Linked DNA regions of Drosophila melanogaster. The protein of the gene in region 1 purifies or fractionates together with the protein of each later gene. This does not show direct contact. Each region holds a gene or a part of one and is shown in the gene's direction. Other genes may lie near its edges.

Evidence for each region.
Region 2: the proteins of CG30344 (region 1) and pps purify together in Drosophila melanogaster (affinity purification with mass spectrometry, with the first as the bait; one large-scale study listed by BioGRID). This does not show direct contact.
Region 3: the proteins of CG30344 (region 1) and tmod purify together in Drosophila melanogaster (affinity purification with mass spectrometry, with the first as the bait; one large-scale study listed by BioGRID). This does not show direct contact.

Annotation. Positions count from the first base shown.
Region 1 is NT_033778.4:9,143,571-9,149,134, forward strand, and holds CG30344 (uncharacterized protein), read left to right. Parts: upstream 1-1,689; 5' UTR 1,690-2,016; coding exon 2,017-2,221; intron 2,222-2,289; coding exon 2,290-2,402; intron 2,403-3,075; coding exon 3,076-3,226; intron 3,227-3,292; coding exon 3,293-3,476; intron 3,477-3,544; coding exon 3,545-3,731; intron 3,732-3,792; coding exon 3,793-3,928; intron 3,929-3,979; coding exon 3,980-4,306; intron 4,307-4,368; coding exon 4,369-4,525; intron 4,526-4,582; coding exon 4,583-4,646; 3' UTR 4,647-4,942; downstream 4,943-5,564. Other genes in the region: shrb (shrub), read right to left, coding at 50-227; Prp38 (pre-mRNA processing factor 38), read left to right, coding at 558-1,550; CG30345 (uncharacterized protein), read left to right, coding at 5,257-5,428, 5,496-5,564.
Region 2 is NT_033777.3:12,411,899-12,419,945, forward strand, and holds the start of pps (protein partner of snf), read left to right. Parts: upstream 1-1,929; 5' UTR 1,930-2,258; coding exon 2,259-2,388; intron 2,389-2,453; coding exon 2,454-2,858; intron 2,859-2,972; coding exon 2,973-4,690; intron 4,691-4,749; coding exon 4,750-5,231; intron 5,232-5,319; coding exon 5,320-5,494; intron 5,495-5,549; coding exon 5,550-6,077; intron 6,078-6,142; coding exon 6,143-8,047. Other genes in the region: Dip-C (dipeptidase C), read right to left, coding at 10-1,485.
Region 3 is NT_033777.3:30,530,824-30,535,842, forward strand, and holds the start of tmod (tropomodulin), read left to right. Parts: upstream 1-2,013; 5' UTR 2,014-2,159; exon of another isoform or gene 2,160-2,272; 5' UTR 2,273-2,462; coding exon 2,463-2,684; intron 2,685-5,019.

The DNA of each region.
Region 1 (5,564 bases):
TTGAGTGACCAACTAGGAAGCCAAGGACCTCGGCGCACTCCTCTCATACCTCTTTTGTTTTTAGACGCATTCTTGCGGGCTATATTCAGTTCGTCCTCGATCTTGGCCTCCAGGAACTCCTGCTTTTTGATAAGCATGTTCTCCGTCTCGCGCAGCTTCTGTATCGCCTCGCCGGTGGTGGGGGCCACTTCCTTCTTGCCGCCGAACATCTTCCCGAAGAAACTCATCCTGGCTGATCTGTTTTTTCACCCGAATTTAGCGAACAAGTGAGTTTTTTTCTGCTATTGCGTTTCTTGGTTGTCTGGGAGCTGTTGTTCGTATGCGTCACCCGATACCGATTGCCGTCCCCTATCGTTATCGCCTTTGTGTATGCGCTTGGCGGAGTGGCATATTTCTCCCTTACGCAGCTGGCCACTCTGGTTAGCAAACGCCGAAAAATAAATAAATATATTCGGTGCATTTTCACATTTTGCACTGCTGCCAATAGATACCCGAATTTCTGGATTGAAAAGTCCTATTTGAGTTACGATTGACAAGGAACAAGGGTTCAACTGAAAATGGCCAACCGCACGGTGAAGGAGGCCAAAAACGTGCACGGCACCAATCCGCAGTACCTCATCGAGAAGATCATCCGTTCGAGGATATACGACTCTAAGTACTGGAAGGAGCAATGCTTTGCTCTCACTGCGGAGCTTCTGGTGGACAAGGCAATGGAGCTGCGATTCGTCGGAGGCGTCTACGGCGGCAACATCAAGCCCACCCAGTTCCTCTGCCTCACACTCAAGATGCTGCAGATTCAGCCGGAAAAGGACATCGTAGTGGAGTTTATCAAGAACGAGGAGTTCAAGTACGTTCGAGCATTGGGAGCCTTCTATCTACGGCTCACAGGAGCTGCCCTGGACTGCTACAAGTACCTGGAGCCGTTGTACATAGACAATCGAAAGCTGCGCCGCCAGAATCGCGCCGGCCAGTTCGAGATTGTCTACATGGATGAGTACATTGACGAACTGCTGCGCAACGACCGTGTCTGCGACATTATACTGCCCCGCATCCAGAAGCGCTCCATTCTCGAGGAAAACAACGAAATCGAGCCCAAGGTGTCAGTGCTGGATGAGGACTTGGACGACGAACTGCCCAGCGACGAGGAGAAGGCAGACGAGACCAACCGGCCTAAGGAGAATTCGACAGCAGTGAGACGACCACGGAGAGTTCGCTCCAAGTCAAGGTCCCGCAGTCGGGAGCGCGAGCGAAGATCTGGGCAGGGCAACAGCGCCCGTTCCCGGGATTACTACGACGAACTGGAAGACTACGACCGCCAGCGAAATAGGGTGCGCAATCGGGACACCCACAACGAGGACTATGACCGTCGGCAAAACAATGGACGCCACGATCGCGAACGAGAGCGCCAAGATCGCGACAGTATCAGGGAGCGCGAGAGGGACGGCGACAGAGATCGCCGGGATAGGGAACGAGAGCGAGAACGTGACCGTGGCCGTCACGACCAGCGGGAACGGGACTCGCGAGGAGAGCGTGACCGACGACGCTACTAAAATTATAAATAAATTGAATTAATTAACCAGTAAAAAGTGTCAGAAAATTTAAACCACAAACTCTCAATTCGCCGCAAGTTGGCATCCCTAGCACTAAGAATCGAAAATCGAAATCAAAACAATAACACAGAAGAAGAAGAAGTCAATCAGCTGTTGCTGCTTGCATTTAGAAAGTTTCGAATAGAGTAACGTTAACTGCGGGAGAATCCAGCCAGCTGTACTTGTGAAAATAATACACGTACCAGGGATTTAAGCAACAATAAATCCACGTTAATCAGCAGTAAAGCAGCTGAAGCTTTAGTATCTGAAAACTCTCCGTCGCGTTTGGAAGACTTTCAGGGAACTGCGCAGCGTTCTGGTGAATGAATTGTAAATTCCATTATCTCCGGTAGACTGGTGTAAGCCAGACGCATCCACGAGTTCCGTTCTCGATAGCGAGCAAGTAGGAACGGAACGGAACGGCAGTATGCCTCGCTCTGATACGGAGGCTTTGGTGGCCGATGTGGAGACTGGCGAAGATTCGGCACCACGCATACTGGACGCATCATCTGCGGCCAGCAGTGAGCAGGTGGACCCGCCTCCGGTACCGCCGCCTCATGACTACAGCAGCTATCGCTGGTTCATCCTGGAGCCCGCAGTTTTTTTAATCTTCTTCGCCAGAAATTTAATTGGTATAATGGCTATAGGGCAGTAAAACCGATTGGATTGCATCATTGAATTAACTTTGTGTGCGTTTTAGGGGCGGTTTATCAGAACCAAATTCTCTACCAAACCTGCATCACCATCGAGAAATTCAATGCCACGCAATGTGAACCGCTGCTGGGCATTGATCGCGGATCGGACGCGGATAAAGTAAGTATTTAATTTGACCCTTATAGTATACACATCATGTACAATTTGATATCTGTACTTTGTGTAGTTTCTGTTCTCGTTGCCTGGTTTTTATCTCTGTGCAAATTATTTTTGCTGCTTTGCTGGGCGTTTCGTGTTGTGATTTTATGGCGATGAGGAAAATGGCAATTTTAAACAAATTTATCCAGTAACTGTAAACAAAAACTGAAGTTTAAGTTACAAAAACTGCTGAACAATTTTAAAACCACAATTAATGTATCACAATATTAACTTGTTTTACGAGTAATTGCTACTATTATGACCTTTGCTGTATAGAACAATGTATTTCGCATTTGGCTCGCCGATATTCTTCCAAGACGTGACCTACTTAGTATATCTTACTATATCAGCATCCGACGTGACAAAGTAAAATCAAATTAGCAAATCGTCTCAACCTAATGCAAAACTGCCATTGTTTGGAGGCTAGAGATAAGGTAATTAGAACGCCAGTCGAGGCTTATCAACGGCCGGAATAGAAGTAAGCAAAATCCTTTGTTACTGCATTTCGAAGCAGTATCGAAGTATTTACTAGGAAAGCGTTAAAATTATAATTATACGTACGAGATATGGCACATTGACTCATCCACAGTTGTACAGTTGTGCAGTTTACTAAAGTGAACTTCTGTTTTTTCAGGAAGTCGAGGTGATAGTACAGACGTATTCTGCAAATATTATGATGACAACCTCTCTGCTAGAGAGCATTATTCCTGCCTTCGCGAGTCTGTTCCTGGGTCCCTGGTCCGACAAGTTCGGAAGGCGGCCAATCCTGCTGACAACTTTTACGGGTATATAATCATCAGTCAGGACATCTTAATTGCATCTTGTACAAATGACTCTTATTGTATTTAAAGGCTACCTCACTGGCGCACTCATACTGATAGTAATCACTTACATAACGAGGTCCACGAATATAAGTCCATGGTGGTTCCTCCTTTCCTCGGTTCCTTCCGTCGTAAGCGGCGGAACTTGCGCCTTGATTACTGGAATCTATTGCTACATATCCGATGTGGCCAAGGAGCGAAAGAAGGCTCTGAGGTGAGTATGGGTAGTCTTGATTTATTAATCCAAAGAATGCCATTTCATTTTGATATATTATTTGAAAGAATGGTCCTCAATGAAGCCTCCCTCTGTGCTGGCATAATGGTGGGCAATGTGGCCAGCGGTTATATCTATGCTGCCACAAATGCTCTGGTGTTGTTTTCCATTGCTGGTAGCCTGATGATGTTTGCCTTGATGTACGTGCTTCTGTTTGTACCTGAAAGCCTAAATCCAGGTGACATTCACACCGGAGTAAGTAATTTCTATAGCTAAGAAGAAACGAATATCTCAACACTCCTTCCCTCATTTTTAGTCGCGAGTCCGTGAGTTCTTCCGTTTCGATTTGGTCACGGACCTGATTCGCACCTGCTTTAAGAGGCGCCCCAACTTTGATCGCACAATCATCTGGCTTACAATGATTGCCCTTACGATAGCCATTTTCGACATGGGTAACATAATTCAAACTTAAGATTATATGAGTTAATTTATAATGATTTCAGAGGGAGAGAGCACTGTAAATTACATGTTCGTGCAGGATAAATTCAACTGGACCATTAAGGACTTCAGTCTATTCAACGCATCCCGCATCGTGATCCAGATTGTGGGCAGCATCGTTGGCATGTTGGTATTGCGCCGCGTTCTAAAGATGTCTATCGTAACCATGGCAATGCTCTCCCTGGCTTGCTGTGTTCTGGAGAGCACGGTTCGAGCCACAGCAGTCTACTGGCAAGAGCTGTATCTGGGCATGACGCTGGGTATGATGCGTGGCGTCATGGGACCTATGTGCCGCGCGATTCTCTCGCACGTTGCACCCGCGACTGAAGTTGGTACGTACCCAAAGTGTTTAGCCTGCAAATACCATTAACTAAAACCATATGAAATAATTTAGGCAAGATCTTTGCTCTGACCACCTCCATGGAATCGGTTTCGCCACTGGGCGCTGCACCTCTGTACACAACCGTCTACAAGGCAACTTTGGAAAATTATCCCGGAGCTTTCAACTTTATTAGCGCCGCTCTCTACTTTGTGTGTTACATTCTGATAGCGTAAGTCCTACCAAGCACAGTTCAAGTCCAGTTTAAAGCGAATACTTTTCAATACAGCGTGATCTTCGGCATCCAGAAGTCGATGGGTAGTAGCAGTGTCTACCAGGCCATTGGCAGCTAACAAACTCTCCAGAGCACCGATTTAGCTGAATGTATCTCATAAGTTAAATTCCTTCTGCAGGCGCTGCGAAGAGCTCTCGTTTTAAAAGATTAGAAACTATTTGTGTAAATTAATCTAGTGTTTGTACTCCTTGTATATTTTTGCAAGTATTATTATGATTTTGATCAGTGTATATGTATATATATACTATATCTGCTATTTGGACTGTGTTTTGCATGTGCAAGCATTGTAAAGTTAAGAACAAAAGATTTAACTGTTTGCAGTGTGACAATAAAGTGTGAATACATCGAGCATTCAATATCTTTGAGCATAAATCGAATGGGAATTGTGTGTCGCGATGTGAGGTTTCTCGAGAGGGAGCCGCTCGAGCGTTCGTGCGCAGATAGGGCGCAGCAAACGCTTTGGTTTGCTCAAATTGGCAATCGCTTGCTTTGTTTGTTTACGTCGTCTATTTCAGCTGCTCCCTCCAGTTAGTCTATCACTCGAGTTCGGCGCGCACAGATGTTTAACTCAGTTCCCGCTACGATATATTGCTTGGCTGAATGAATCGTTAATTCCTTTGTCTACACGATAATTGCTGCGATCACCGCGACCTTTACTGAACCACAAAATGCCGAGAGATGATGAGGAGCCAATTATTGGCGCTGATGATGAACCGCTGGACATCGAAGTGCGGTCGCCGCCACCCAGCAATAGGACATTCTCTAGCTGGCTAAAACGACCCCGCTCGCTTATTTTAGAGCCCGCCGTGTTTCTGGTTTTCTTTGGCAGATTCCTAACAGGTGTGTACATACATGTATGTGTTTACTGTGTTGTGGGGGCGTTTATAAATCAGATTGTTTACATCAGATGCCGTTTACCAGAACCAGATACTCTACCAGACCTGTGTCACGGTCATGAAATACAATGCTACCGAAT
Region 2 (8,047 bases), on another chromosome or scaffold:
TTAAAAGCTCTAAACCGGCGAATCATATTTACAGGTCATGGTTGCCTCGATGTCCTCCACCGTTCGCGGCACAATCGCAAAGTTCTCCACGCCAGTCTTCGTGATGAGCACATCGTCCTCGATGCGCACACCTCCGAAATTCCGGAAGCGATTGAACATCTCTGCGTTAATGAATTTAGCAATGTTCGGATCGGCCAGAGCGCGGTCCATCAGCCAGTTGATGAAGTAGCAGCCGGGTTCGATTGTGACATACATGCCGGCCTTAAGGATGCGGGCAAAGCGCAGCTTGCTCAGCCACGGTTCACTGGGGCGCTTGGGCTCCTTGGGCAGATAGCCGCCCACGTCGTGCACATCCAGACCGATCAAGTGGCCCAGGCCATGTGGCTGGAACACGCCCGAAACACCTGCCTCGAGCATCTCCTCCACATCGCCCTTGAGCATGCCGCCCTCCTTCAGGCGCTGCAGCAACACCCTGCCCGCCAGCTTGTGCATGTCCACCCAGGAGACTCCGTCACGGGCTGACTCTGTGACCGCATTGCGGGCATCCAGCACGGCATTGTAGATGAACTTCTGGTCGTCGGTGAACTTTCCATTGGCCGGGAATGTGCAGGTTATGTCGGCCGCATAGCCACAATAGTTGGCTCCCATATCGAACAGGCAGAGATCACCATCCTGGACGGGCTTGCTGTTGGGTGCGCCCGCGTGTCCATAGTGCAAGATCGACGAGTTCGTTCCGCTGCCGCATATGCAGGTGTAGGAGGCATGCCGGCAGCCGCCCACGGAGTAGGCGTGGTGCAGGAACAGGGATTCGCCCTCAAATTCCATTCTACCGGGACGCATAAACCGCATCACCTTGATGTGCGCGTCCGAGGATACCTTGGCCACGTAGCGCAGCACCTCGATCTCTTCGGGTGACTTGATCACTCGGCACTCAGAGAGAATTGGATACAGCAGATTGCAGTCAGTCACATACTTCTCCTTGCCAGCAAAGTCGGGCGGCTGAAGGGTGAGCCCGCTATCGCTGTTGGTGCCACTCAATGTGAGTATCAGCTTGGGCGACGCCCCCTCCAGATAAACACTCATTTCGTCAACATAAAACACCTCGTCCACCTCGTACATGGCCTTGAACTCCTGCAGCCCAAGCAGTTCGCCCATCCAGGTGCCGTACTCATCGGGAAAGCGAGGAACAAAGAGAACACTTTTCTGTGCACCAGTTTTCACATCAATGGTTAGGATGCCGTAGCAGCCCGGCTCCTTGACACCGAACAAGTACTGGAAATAGGACTCCTGCCGGAAAACGTAGTCCACGTCGGTGTTGTACAGGCTCTGGTCCTTGCCGCCCTCGAGGAGCACCAGCAGGTTGCCGTCGTTGAACTTGAGGCCCGGCAGCAGCTCCTTAAGGATGGCCTTGCCAGCACGATCCCTGTTGTTCCGGAAGAGGGTCATGGGCACTGCGTAACCCGATCCCATCTGAAAGGCGGCCATGGTGTTGCGACGGAGGACAAAGTTTAACTGGCGCTCTGGACAACAATGAGTGCTCGAGCAAGTGAGATTAGCTGATAATAGCCAATAACCGGGCTAACAAAGGCAGTAAATTATGTGGGTTTTATCAGTGTTTTTTGTTTTCTGTTTTCGCAAAAGTATGACCGAGAACTGAACGCGAAAAAAAACAAGCTTAAATTACAATTCATCGATCGGGAATTTTATTTTTTTAAATATATTCTTTAATATTTTTAATTAGCTCAATTCATTTATTTATCATACGGTTTTCCTTTTTGGCAGCCGACCTTGAAAATAAAGGATTTCCCTAAATAAACACAGATTAACATTTTGTTCAAATGAGCTAGCAATTGAAACTAGTTCCGCAGAGCGAGGCACAGAAACTATCGATAACCTACAGCATCGGCATCATTCCCAAGTCTGGTCACACTGGAAGTGGCTTTTTTTGCAAATTTTATTTTCATAATTGAGAAAAATTTGCATTTTAAAGCGAAACAGCAACGGATTAAGCTCTCGAATCTCAACAATATAACAGCCAGCTTGTGGGCGCAGCCAGCAGAGCATCACCAGTATTAAGTATAGGGCGAACGCAGCCCAGTGACCGTTTTCCACCTACTATCCAATTTCAATGTCGGCGTCACAACGCGGCGGATGCAACAACAAATGAGTCGTTGTTCTGTTCCAAGCTAATTAAGTACACGCTGTGTGGGCCGCCGACTCCAATGCGCCGCTAGCGGGGATCACGAGCAGTTGGCGTCATGTCCAGTTCGGTGTTTACGGAGGCGCCCAGCGCCCGGCCGGCGGCAGCCGAAGCCGACTCCAATCTGGTTGTGGTCTACAGCAAGAGCGGAATCTCCTTCGACGAGCGTGCGATTGGGAACATCATGGGTAAGTGGGTCCAATAGGCCTGACACACGCTCATTGCTCCCCACACTGACATGGGCTTGTTGCAGAGGAAAAATCGATTTCCACCATTAGCGTGGTGCGGATTACATCGCCCACGCCGAGCATGGTGGACCAAGAGGAAGACGAACGGCTGGAGGAGCTGGCGAACTTTATGGAAACTGCCACCGACTCGGAGCTGGACAGTGACAATGGCAGCCAAAGTGGTGGCGATAATGCCAGTGAGATGGATGAACACGACGAGGAGAACCATAACACCGGTGACGACAACAATAGCGACTCCACGGAGACGGAAGCCGATGCCCCGCGCACACGCAAGCGAGTTGGCCGAAAGCCCAAGGCCATCAAAAAGCGAAAGCGACGCAAACCCAAGGAGCGTCCACAAATTGTGGGTTTGCGAGTGGAGCAGTTTTATGCGGACAACACGGCTGATATGGTTGTGAAAAATGCACTGAGTAAATAACGTACATCGATGTGGTCCAAATGATAAAGCAAAACAACATCATTATTTCGAGCACAACGAAAGTAAACGAACTTTAGCTTTCAACTAATTTGTATTCTATTTACAGAGCTTGCCGGAGTTTCCGTCTACAAAAGGACTGCGGAGACAGACGCTCTTATGGAAGTTATTCGAAATGACCACAACTACACACCGTTTACCTCGCCAGAGCAGCTGAAGAACCACAAGCGCGATGAGAAGATGGCCATGGAAATGCAGGCCCAAAGCCGCAAAATCATAATGCAGGCACCGGGCAGTGTCAAGCTAATCAATGCCAAAAAACGAGTCCAGGCCATACCCTTAAGCCCGGTGCAGGTCAAGGTCCAGAGACTGCCAGTCAAGCCCCACCAAGTTCAGCAGGCAGCGCAGCTGCAACCGAAAGTGCAGCTGATCCGCAAGCCCATCCATTCGCCACTGCCAAGACAGAAGCCAGAGATTATCGCGAACAATTCGGTCAATGCCAGGCTGAGGCCCACTCGTGCTCCAGTCAAAGTGATTGCTCCGCCTGTGCAGGAATACATCGAAGATGATGATGACGCCCAAAGCTCGGATTCCGCCGAAGAGGAAAATGCCGACAAGGCCTATGATTCGGAGGAAATGAGTGAGGAGAGCGATGAGTTCCAGGAATCGGACAACGACAGGGACAGTGACATGGACTTCGATATGAGGCATAGCAATAGACGTAATCCGAATAAGAGGAAGCGGGTTAGAAAGGTGGTTAGGCAGACTCCCAGCAAACCAATGAAGCCGCTGCCTCCGCCACCCACAACGCCGCAGCACTTCCCCGAGCTGAAGAAACGCAAGGAAGTTTTGGAGCCGAAGGCGCCGCAAATTGGGCAAATAATCCAGATGCCTGCCACAAAATCAGTGCCCGCAGTGTTTGCCCTAGGCAGAGGTCTTCCAAGCACATCGTTTCTCAAAATCCGGCCCACACATCAATCGCTGCCTGTGAAGAGACCTCCACTGCCAACGACACCGGCCAATTCCAATGTTCGTCGTATGCCTGCCGTGCAATTGGGAAGGATCGTAAACTCGCCGCAGGAAGTTAAAGAGATTATTATCAACAAGAATATGGCCAGTCCCAAAGGAGTGTTTACCAATCTCAACACTTTGCTGGGTGAGGACAACAATGCAGCCACAAAATCTTCGCCAGTTCCACTCCGACACCGGGCCGTCATGTCGCCAAGCACGCCGAGATCGAGCTACAATCAGCAGATGTCGCCAATTGTGGTTCCGGTTCCTGCTCAGGCACATACCCCATCCAAGGGCTTCATGCCCATCGGCGTGGACACAGCTCAGTCGCATAAACTGCCCGCCCAAATAGTAATCGAGACGCACCAGAGTTCCTCCGAGCTGGCAGCAGAAAATGACAAGCAGCTCGATCTGATCAACTCGATTGTGCAGGACGAGCTACTTAAGTCCACGCTTGTGGAGCAGCCGGTAGTAAATGCGGACGAGGATATACCGAAACTGGTTAAGATGCTGGAGAGTACAGCGGCGGATCTAGATCCGCCACCAGTGTCCTTGCCTACGAATATTTTTCCAGCTCCCGAGATGCAGGGAGTGGGAAATGCAGCTGCAGCCGATCCGAATAATATAATGGATACGGCGAATGAGGATGAGATTACAGCTGATTTTCTCCAGCACGTGGTCGGTCTCATCGAGGAGGACAAACAGTTTGAGGCCGAGGTGGTTAAGCAAGTATTGGCTAGTACAGAGCCCGGAACCCTGGACGCCATCGTATCTATGCCTACGTCCATTGAGCCCGTAGACGTGCCGCAAGTACAGGCAAGTGTAGAATATCCTGGTTATTGATTTTGCTAGCTAACTGCATTGCTCCTTTACAGGCACACACGAACCTACTGCCGAATGCAAGTCTTACGGAGCCCGCACAATCGATGACCTCATTGCCGATTGCCTGCAGTACACCCTCGAGGAGCGTGGCAGCAAGCACTCCGCCCACCTCCGCGAAGGTTGTGCGCGGCTACGGTCGGGTCATATACCTGCCTCCCATTGAAGCCCCCACCACGCGGGCCAAGCGACGAGCACAGTTTCCTTCAGCTCCGGGCATGGCTGCGACCAGTTCCAGTGATGCAGGCAACCTGTCGTTTGGTGAATCTTCGTTGGATGCGAGCATCAATCAGCCGCTCAATACCAGCAGCCTGAGCAATGACAGCCAGCCGGGAAGTGGGCCGAAACGACCCAATCCTAGAGAGCCATCGATGGCCAGACGTTCAACGGCACCCAGAAGATCAAAGAAGCTTGATGCAAGTCAGAACAATGATCCCGACGCTTCAGAGTCTCAGGAGGATGACGATGACCCCAACAAGTAAGATTATAGTTGGATATTTCATAGATGCAAATCTGTGCGTTTGTTGAAAACCTTTTTTGTTTTTTTTTTTTTTTTTTTGGTTTAGGCTCTGGTGCATTTGTCGTCAGCCACACAACAATCGTTTCATGATCTGCTGCGATTTGTGCGAGGATTGGTTCCACGGCACATGCGTGGGGGTGACCAAGGCGATGGGCACAGATATGGAAAACAAGGGCATCGACTGGAAGTGCCCCAAATGCGTTAAAAGGCAGGAGGAGAGGGTAAAGTCATACAATAGACATAAAGTTACCTTTTATTGATTCGTTATCTTTGTAGAGCCAACCACGAATAACAGACATGTTGGTCACCAGACCAACCACTCAACCTGAGCAGAGGCCGAGTGAAACCAAAGTACTAACTACGACAGCAGAAATTGTTCAGGTCGCGGCTCCTTCGGCTCCCAGAAGAACACTACCGGTGGTCTTAACTGTAGCCAGTTCCCCCATGCGTATTCCAATGGCAAAGCCGGCCAAAAAGTTCCCAACCGGTGCAATCTCTCACCAGCAGCAGCAGCAGCTGAACTTTATCAGACTGGGCCCATCACCTGGCAAACGAATTTCGGAGACGTTATGTGTGGTCTGCAAGCGACCGGCGAGCACCTCTTCCGTCTATTGTGGCGAAGAGTGCATCCGGAAGTATGCCCAAAGTGCAATTCAAGCACATGCTGCTACCAAAGGCCCATTGCCACAGAATGCCGGTGCTCAGTCTTTGCTGAACAACTCCTTCGATGCCAAAAAGAACAAGAAGAAGGACTTGTTTGAGGACGTGCTGAGGCAAGCGGACACTGTGTCAAAAGTGGAACGGGTATGCAATAAAGGTTAATTTAATTAGAACTATACAACAAATAATGTGCACACTTTGCTTTGCAGATTAATGTGTTTGAGCGTAAAAGTGGTCGGGTTATCACCGGGCACATGGCCCCTTCTGCACATCAGTTTCGGAAATGGCTTCAGGAGAATCCCTCCTTCGAGGTGCTGCCCTCAGGAACCGTTCAGTCAGCCGACGCAGAGAAGCGTTTGCTGAAAGGGGCACCGGAAGCCGCCACCTCAACTTCAGAACCCGCCGTGCTAGGAGTTGCAAAAAAGCCACCTGAAGGTCCTGCCAAATTGTCCCATCCCCAAAACACCACAGTTCAGGCAAGCCACCAACTTGGAATCTCTTCCGTGCGTCCTTTGGCCAAAAAGGATAAAGAGAAGACAACACCTACAGTACAGGCGCCAACCCCTAATCGTATCGCAGCGGGCAAACCCGAGCCGGTTCGAATCGGCATCCGGCGATCACTCAGGGAGCAACTACTAGCGCGAATCAAAGAAGCTCAGGCTGCCGAGGAGAACTCTGGCCAGCCAACGACTCAGTGGCCGACCGTACTTGAGGTGGATCAGTTTGTCAAGAACGTGGAGCTGGAAATGTTCAACTCGTTTGGCCGAGACGTGGGAGCCAAGTACAAGGCCAAGTATCGATCGCTTATGTTCAACATAAAGGATCGCAAGAACCGAACGCTTTTCGAAAAGATTTGTGCCAAGCAAGTGGAGCCCAGGCAGTTGGTGCGGATGACGCCGGAACAGCTGGCCAGCCAAGAGTTGGCCAAGTGGCGGGAGGAGGAAAACCGTCACCAGTTGGATATGATCAAGAAATCGGAGCTGGACTTGTTGGCATGTGCCCAAAACTATGTGGTGAAAACACACAAGGGAGAGGAGGTAATCGCCACCAAAGTGGATGTTACGCTGCCCGAAGAGAACGTTAGTGAAGCATCATCTATGGCGGACACAAAACAGACGTCGCTGGTCAGTGAGCCGTCTACCTCCACACTGGAACGTTCCACGTCCAGGGAAAAGGCGGGTTCATCGAAGGAAAAGCGACACAAGAGCCACAAGCATCATCATCGAAAGCGCAGTCGAAGTCGTTCCAATAGTCGGGGTCGAAGCGTCGATAAGCGCCATCGCAGGCAGCACAACGAAGGAGGAGAGCAGCCAGGCAGCGGGGAGCGTGAGCATAGATCGCGTGAGAAACAGAGCCGGGAAAGGGATGAGATCGTTCCATCACCCTTGCCCAAGAAGAGGGACGAAAACGACCAATCGCCGGTACCCAAAAAGACGGCGGAAAAGAAAACCGAGGCGAGTGCTTACAACTTGGTTGATCAAATTCTGGAATCGGAGAAAACAGTCGAGCAGGCGGCGAATCTAGGCAAACCAAAGCCGTCACCCAAGCCACTTCCAACGCTTCCGAGTTCTTTGAAGGCACCTGAGCCAATGGACAACTACTCCCGCTACTTGCACGGCCTGACGACGAGTTCACTGTGGTCCGGTACTCTCAAGATGATCGATTTGGCCGACTTCGAAATCGTCATGTACCCCGTGCAGGGTAACTGCCATCAATTGGGTAACCTGATGCCAAGTCAGATGGACGTAATCGGTCGCATAACCCGCGTTAATGTCTGGGAATATATCAAGAAGCTAAAGAAGAGTCCCACAAAGGAAGTGGTCATTGTGAACATATTCCCCGCCTCGCCCAGCGAAACGTATAAGTTTGATCTCTTCTTCGAATACCTGGACTCGCGTCAGCGTCTGGGCGTCCTGGGCGTGGACTCGGATCAGATACGCGACTTTTACATATTCCCCTTGGGTAGCGGCGATAAGTTGCCACCAGCGCTGCAGACCGCGGAGCCAGTTCCCTTCTACGAAGAAGCGCAAAGACCCAACACGCTGCTCGGCATCATTGTGCGGTGTCTCAGCAAGCGACCTGCAGACGCTGTGCCATCGACTCCGTCTGTGCCT
Region 3 (5,019 bases), on another chromosome or scaffold:
CACATAATTGCATTTGCTCATCAGAGACACATCCATTGGATGTATCTATATTCAGGCATTTGTCCCGCATCATGTCGCTGCGTTTGCCGAGCTGAAAAGACATTTTCGAGAATTAATTTTAGAATATTCCGTCTTGCGTGTGCTTGGCGCTTTGTTTACACAGCGCTGCGGGGAAAACCGGGGGTCCGTTCGAAACACTTGTCTTTCATATATCTTGTGCAGTCCGCGATGCGATACAGGAAGTCCGCACATCGCTGTCAAAACTAAAGCCCCCAAATGCCAGCAATTGAAAGCGTTCGCTAATCAAAAATCTAAATCGGAATCAGCACAAAATCAGAAATCGGACAGAAGGCAGAAGGTGAAATCACTTGAGATGGGCATCTTCCGACAGATGCCCCTGCCACAAGGCACCCTGTACAGGCCCCGCTGGCTGTGATGCACTGCCTCCACTCGCACATCGAACGCTGGCCACGGCAAAGGAAAAAGGGAAAAAAACGAACGGAAAATAAAGGAAAAAAAAAGAAAAGCGCATGAAAAAGGAAAAGACGGCGTCAAATGCCGCCCGGCCAAATGGCCAGCCGGATCAGCCCAATGTATTCCACCCGATTCAGAGTTGTTTGCCCACAGAGGGTATCGATGAGATGTCTGGGCTTATTGGAAAAAAAATGTTGGAAAAAGGGAAATGCAACACGGGCTTATGGGGATAGTAAGTCCCTCTGATAGAGTGGACAAATTGGTTTGTAAATTAATTTTAAAATCTATCTAAATTCAAGTTTATAAGATATTTTTACTTCTTGAATAAACATTCTATAATTCTTATTGTAAAACTCTATTCTTACTATCAAAATCTCTTTTTTAGGTATTCCAAAGTCGGAAGATATCACTATCTTCATCCTTGGCTGCCTCTTTTTTCTGTCTATTGTTAAATCCACCCAAAATAGCTCCACGCACATTGACGAGAAGAGTGCGTGGGTCTTTGACGGGGAGTATGGAGAGTAGGGGGTATGCGGAGTAAGGGGAGTACAGACCATATGAGATGGCGAATGAGGAGTGTTGGCACTTCACGGCGGAGTTTCACATTCTGACGGGCCTCAGACGTCCGGCAGCCGCACTAATTGCATTCGCCTGGTCAAACGAAGAAATTGCAACAGGCGGACAATTAGCGAGCGAACTCATTCGCATTCAAATTTCACATTTGCTCAAAGAAAGAACAGAAATACTGCACTCAGAAAAATGGTTAACTCACTTCTTACTTCATTGCAGATATTTTGATATTTTATAGAACTCTGGAGTTCAATTTCGGAAGGATTAGGATACATGTGGGATCACAGCCTTGTACTTTTACTTTTTAACATACGAAATATTGTCAGATAGTTTCCTCTTTTTACCAAATAAAGCTTTCTAAATGTAAATCCAATTTGGTAGGATTTTCTCTCAGTGTAGAGGCACACAGTGTAGAAAAGATCGGAACGAAGGCAACAAAAAACTTTTGAAACGCGACGAAGATCAACGTTCAAAATTGAGCAGACGTCAGCAGCGGCAGCAGATCGGCAGAGAACTGAGAGTGAGAGTGGAGGAGAGAGTGTGGAGAATTGCTGGCGCTCTCCCGAGCGCTGGGGGTCTCGGGCCGTCCCGCTCGCACCTGCGGCTAACACATTGGGGGCCTCTGCCCCACTAGACCCTCCGGAACTCAGACCGTCTCGCTCTGCTCTCCGGCGTCGGTTCCGGTGGCAGACGGCAGAAGATTCTAACTAGAAGAATTAGAAGAAGCTAGGACGGAGGCAGCAAGTAGAAGACCCGTGATCGTGTAATTCGCCTCGTGTGCGTTCCGTTGTTCCGTAATTATTCCGGATTTGTTTTCGAAACAGGCTGAAGTGATGTGATGGGATTTCGATAGCTCCATCTTTCAACTTGTTTCGCTTTATCCGCCTTTTGTCACCACGGCTCTACGTTATTCCGTTGTCCCATTGTTCCGTTCTTCCGTAGTCCCATTGTTCCGTAATTCTCCGTTCTCCGTTGTTGTCGCGCCTTTCGTGGCCGCTGGTCGACGTTACGTTTTTACAGTTCGATAATCGAGCACTTCCCGAGAGGATCGAAGGCTCCAGGCATCTGCGTAAACCACGAAGGATCTACAGTACCTCTAAATATACCGCCCTTAGGTCGAAAACAAGTTACTAAAAAACCAGCGCGCCGTGAAATTCCTCTTGTTTATATAATAACCAGCGGCTGCCAAAAGCCCAGCGGAATATACAAAAAATATTCATTTTTCTAGCTCTGGTCGTTTGTATTTTTCAGGCTAAAAGAAAGAAAATAAGAAAGAAGAAAACCCAAGCAATTCTGCGTGTTATGTGTTATCGTTGTGATCAGTGATCCAGTGATCAAGTGAAAGTGAACACAAGAACGTGAGAGAAAGCCAAGTGAATCAGCTCGACTCCAATCGAAAAGGATATAAATCAGAGACAATGTCGGACATTGAGGATGTTTTCGGTGGCTCCGCCGAGGAGACCAAGCCCGAACCCGATGCCCAGAGCAAAACCAGCGTGGTCACCGAGCACACCGAGGAGGTGATTCCCGGCGAGACCGAGAAAATGGTAACGGAGACCATCGATGAGGATGGCGATGTCGTGGAGGAAACCACCGAAGTTACCCGCAAAACGGTGAAGCGCACCATGAAGATCACTGAGGTGAGTGAACTCTGACCCATGGATCCATCTAATAGCCGCCATTATCCATTAACTAACTTATTGTGCGTGTGCTGAGTACAAACATAATTCGAATAGCCATGAAAATCAATATGTATTCTGAATTTGAAAACCGTTCAAGAAGCTATAAAAATTCGGGAACTTGGGAAATTCTTAATGGAAACTATTTCCAAAAGCTTTAATGTTAAGTGCATATTCGCAATCAACTTAAAGAACAGTTCGTTAAAATTTATTAAGCATGGAAATTTTTATAAAAATATTTTCGATTCAAGTATTGTTTACCAAGCTTTTGGTGGGGGGATATATGCCGCAAAACAACATCTTGTTTTTGCATTGAATTTATATAAAAACATCGCATATTTTTGCGAAAGTAAATGACATTCCATTTTACATATTTCCGAAAATATTCTTACGGAACTACAAGTTTAAACCAAAGAATCCGCCCAAAACTGAATGATTTCCTCAATAGTTGGCCACCCCCGATCGTTTGGCTTATGAAAGACTATAAATCATTATTCTCATATTCTGAAGGGATCTTCTGCCGTACTGGTCTCCTCGCTTGTGAAATTGGCCAAAACATGGCGAACTCTGGCTATACATTATTTATACCAAGTGCCATTTCTCTATGTGCGTCTTAGCGAATTGTTTATACGGTCCCACGAATATTATAAATCTTCCCATACATTATACATCACACACACCGCGGCACAGATATAGACGGACATATAGGCGATTATATACACATATACATATGTATGTATATGTTCGGCCACACTTTCTATAGGCGACGTTGCCGGGGGAAAGCCAACAAAAAATACAAATTTTGCAGCTGTTTGATTTCGGCGCAAATTATCACAAAAGATTTCAAATGGCATGGCGTATAAAAAAAGCTGGGAATTAAATTATTATTAAGCAGAAATCACTTAAATACTCGATGCCGAGCTATGCCAAAAAATCCCCACACTCGAAGAGAAATGGCAAAAAAATTAAATGCAATAAATTCTGTGCCGCCAACAAATGCAGAGGCAAAAAAACAAGTATCAGACCAAAAAAAAAAAAAAACAAAAAAAACATCGAGAAGAAGGCGAAACAAAAAATAAATATTGAGGTTTCCGTGTCTTGCGGTCTGGCGCGCACTGGGCGAAAGTTGGGTGGTGCCGCATGGGGCGGGTGGTGCAAGTGGTGGGGCAGCAATTAATTGCCACAAATCGTTGCACAAAATTACAAATTGCATTTCCGGCTTGGCGCGGCGGCCACGCACTTCCACCCGTATTCCCCACTACCGCTACCCCACCCCAAACCCCGCAGAAAGTCTTCGATTTTCCCGCCGCTGTTTTACGACTGTCTGGCCCCCCTCGCCCCTCGCCGGGCGAAAAGCAAAACACCGCCCGTTTTTCTTTCGTCGAGTTTTATGGCAGCCAAATTAAATTTGCATTGCAATTTACTTCTTTTTGGGTCGGCCTCTCGGCCTTTTCTCGTTTTTCCGTTTTGCCGTTTTTATGGGCCCGAAATGGAAATGAAAACGCATGAGCTCAGCCAGCCGGAGTCCTGCGAATGGGGCAGGGATAAGGATGTGCTGCTGCCAGGGCATATGTTGCCATATACACAAAACAGGATCGTATGTGCCTCGCTCCGAGCAGCTTGCCGAACTAATTGCGCTGCCAAAGTCCGGTTTCCTTGCCGAAGCTCATGAACTGCTGAACTGCTGAACTGCCCAAGCCAGCTTTCCCCGCTCACTTTCTCCCGGCGGCATTTCCTGGGCGAAAGCGGCTAATGAGTCACGTACCGTTTTTGTCATTTTTATGCGCTTAACAGGTCAAAGTTCCAGCCGCAGGGATACGTGACCAAAGTCGAGTTTGAGTTGAAAATGCAAAATTAGTTAAATAAAGTCGGAGATACGCCGGGCACTTTCTCCACTCCCCATCCCCACTGCCTTTCGTTATCCTTAATTCGAGGCGAAGCGGAAAACTGTCATAAATTTCACAGTTGATTTCACCGTTGTTTCCTGATTTGATTAGCTCATTAAACGACGGTAATTTGTGCGGTGCGGGGTATGGTTCAAGCCTCTGTGTATTTGCTTATAAACTAAACAATAAATATTAAAGAGAATGACTAAATTGAATAAAATATTCATAGAATATTCATGATTGATTAGTTTCAACAAAATCGAACTCTCAATCTATTGTCACTGAAAATTCAACATCAAATACGCCCAATTTGCGATTATTAAATTATCTGATTATGCGCCATTTAATGCAAACATTATGGAAATGCACCACTATTTAATAAACACCCAAACGAGCGACTTTGCGGTCGG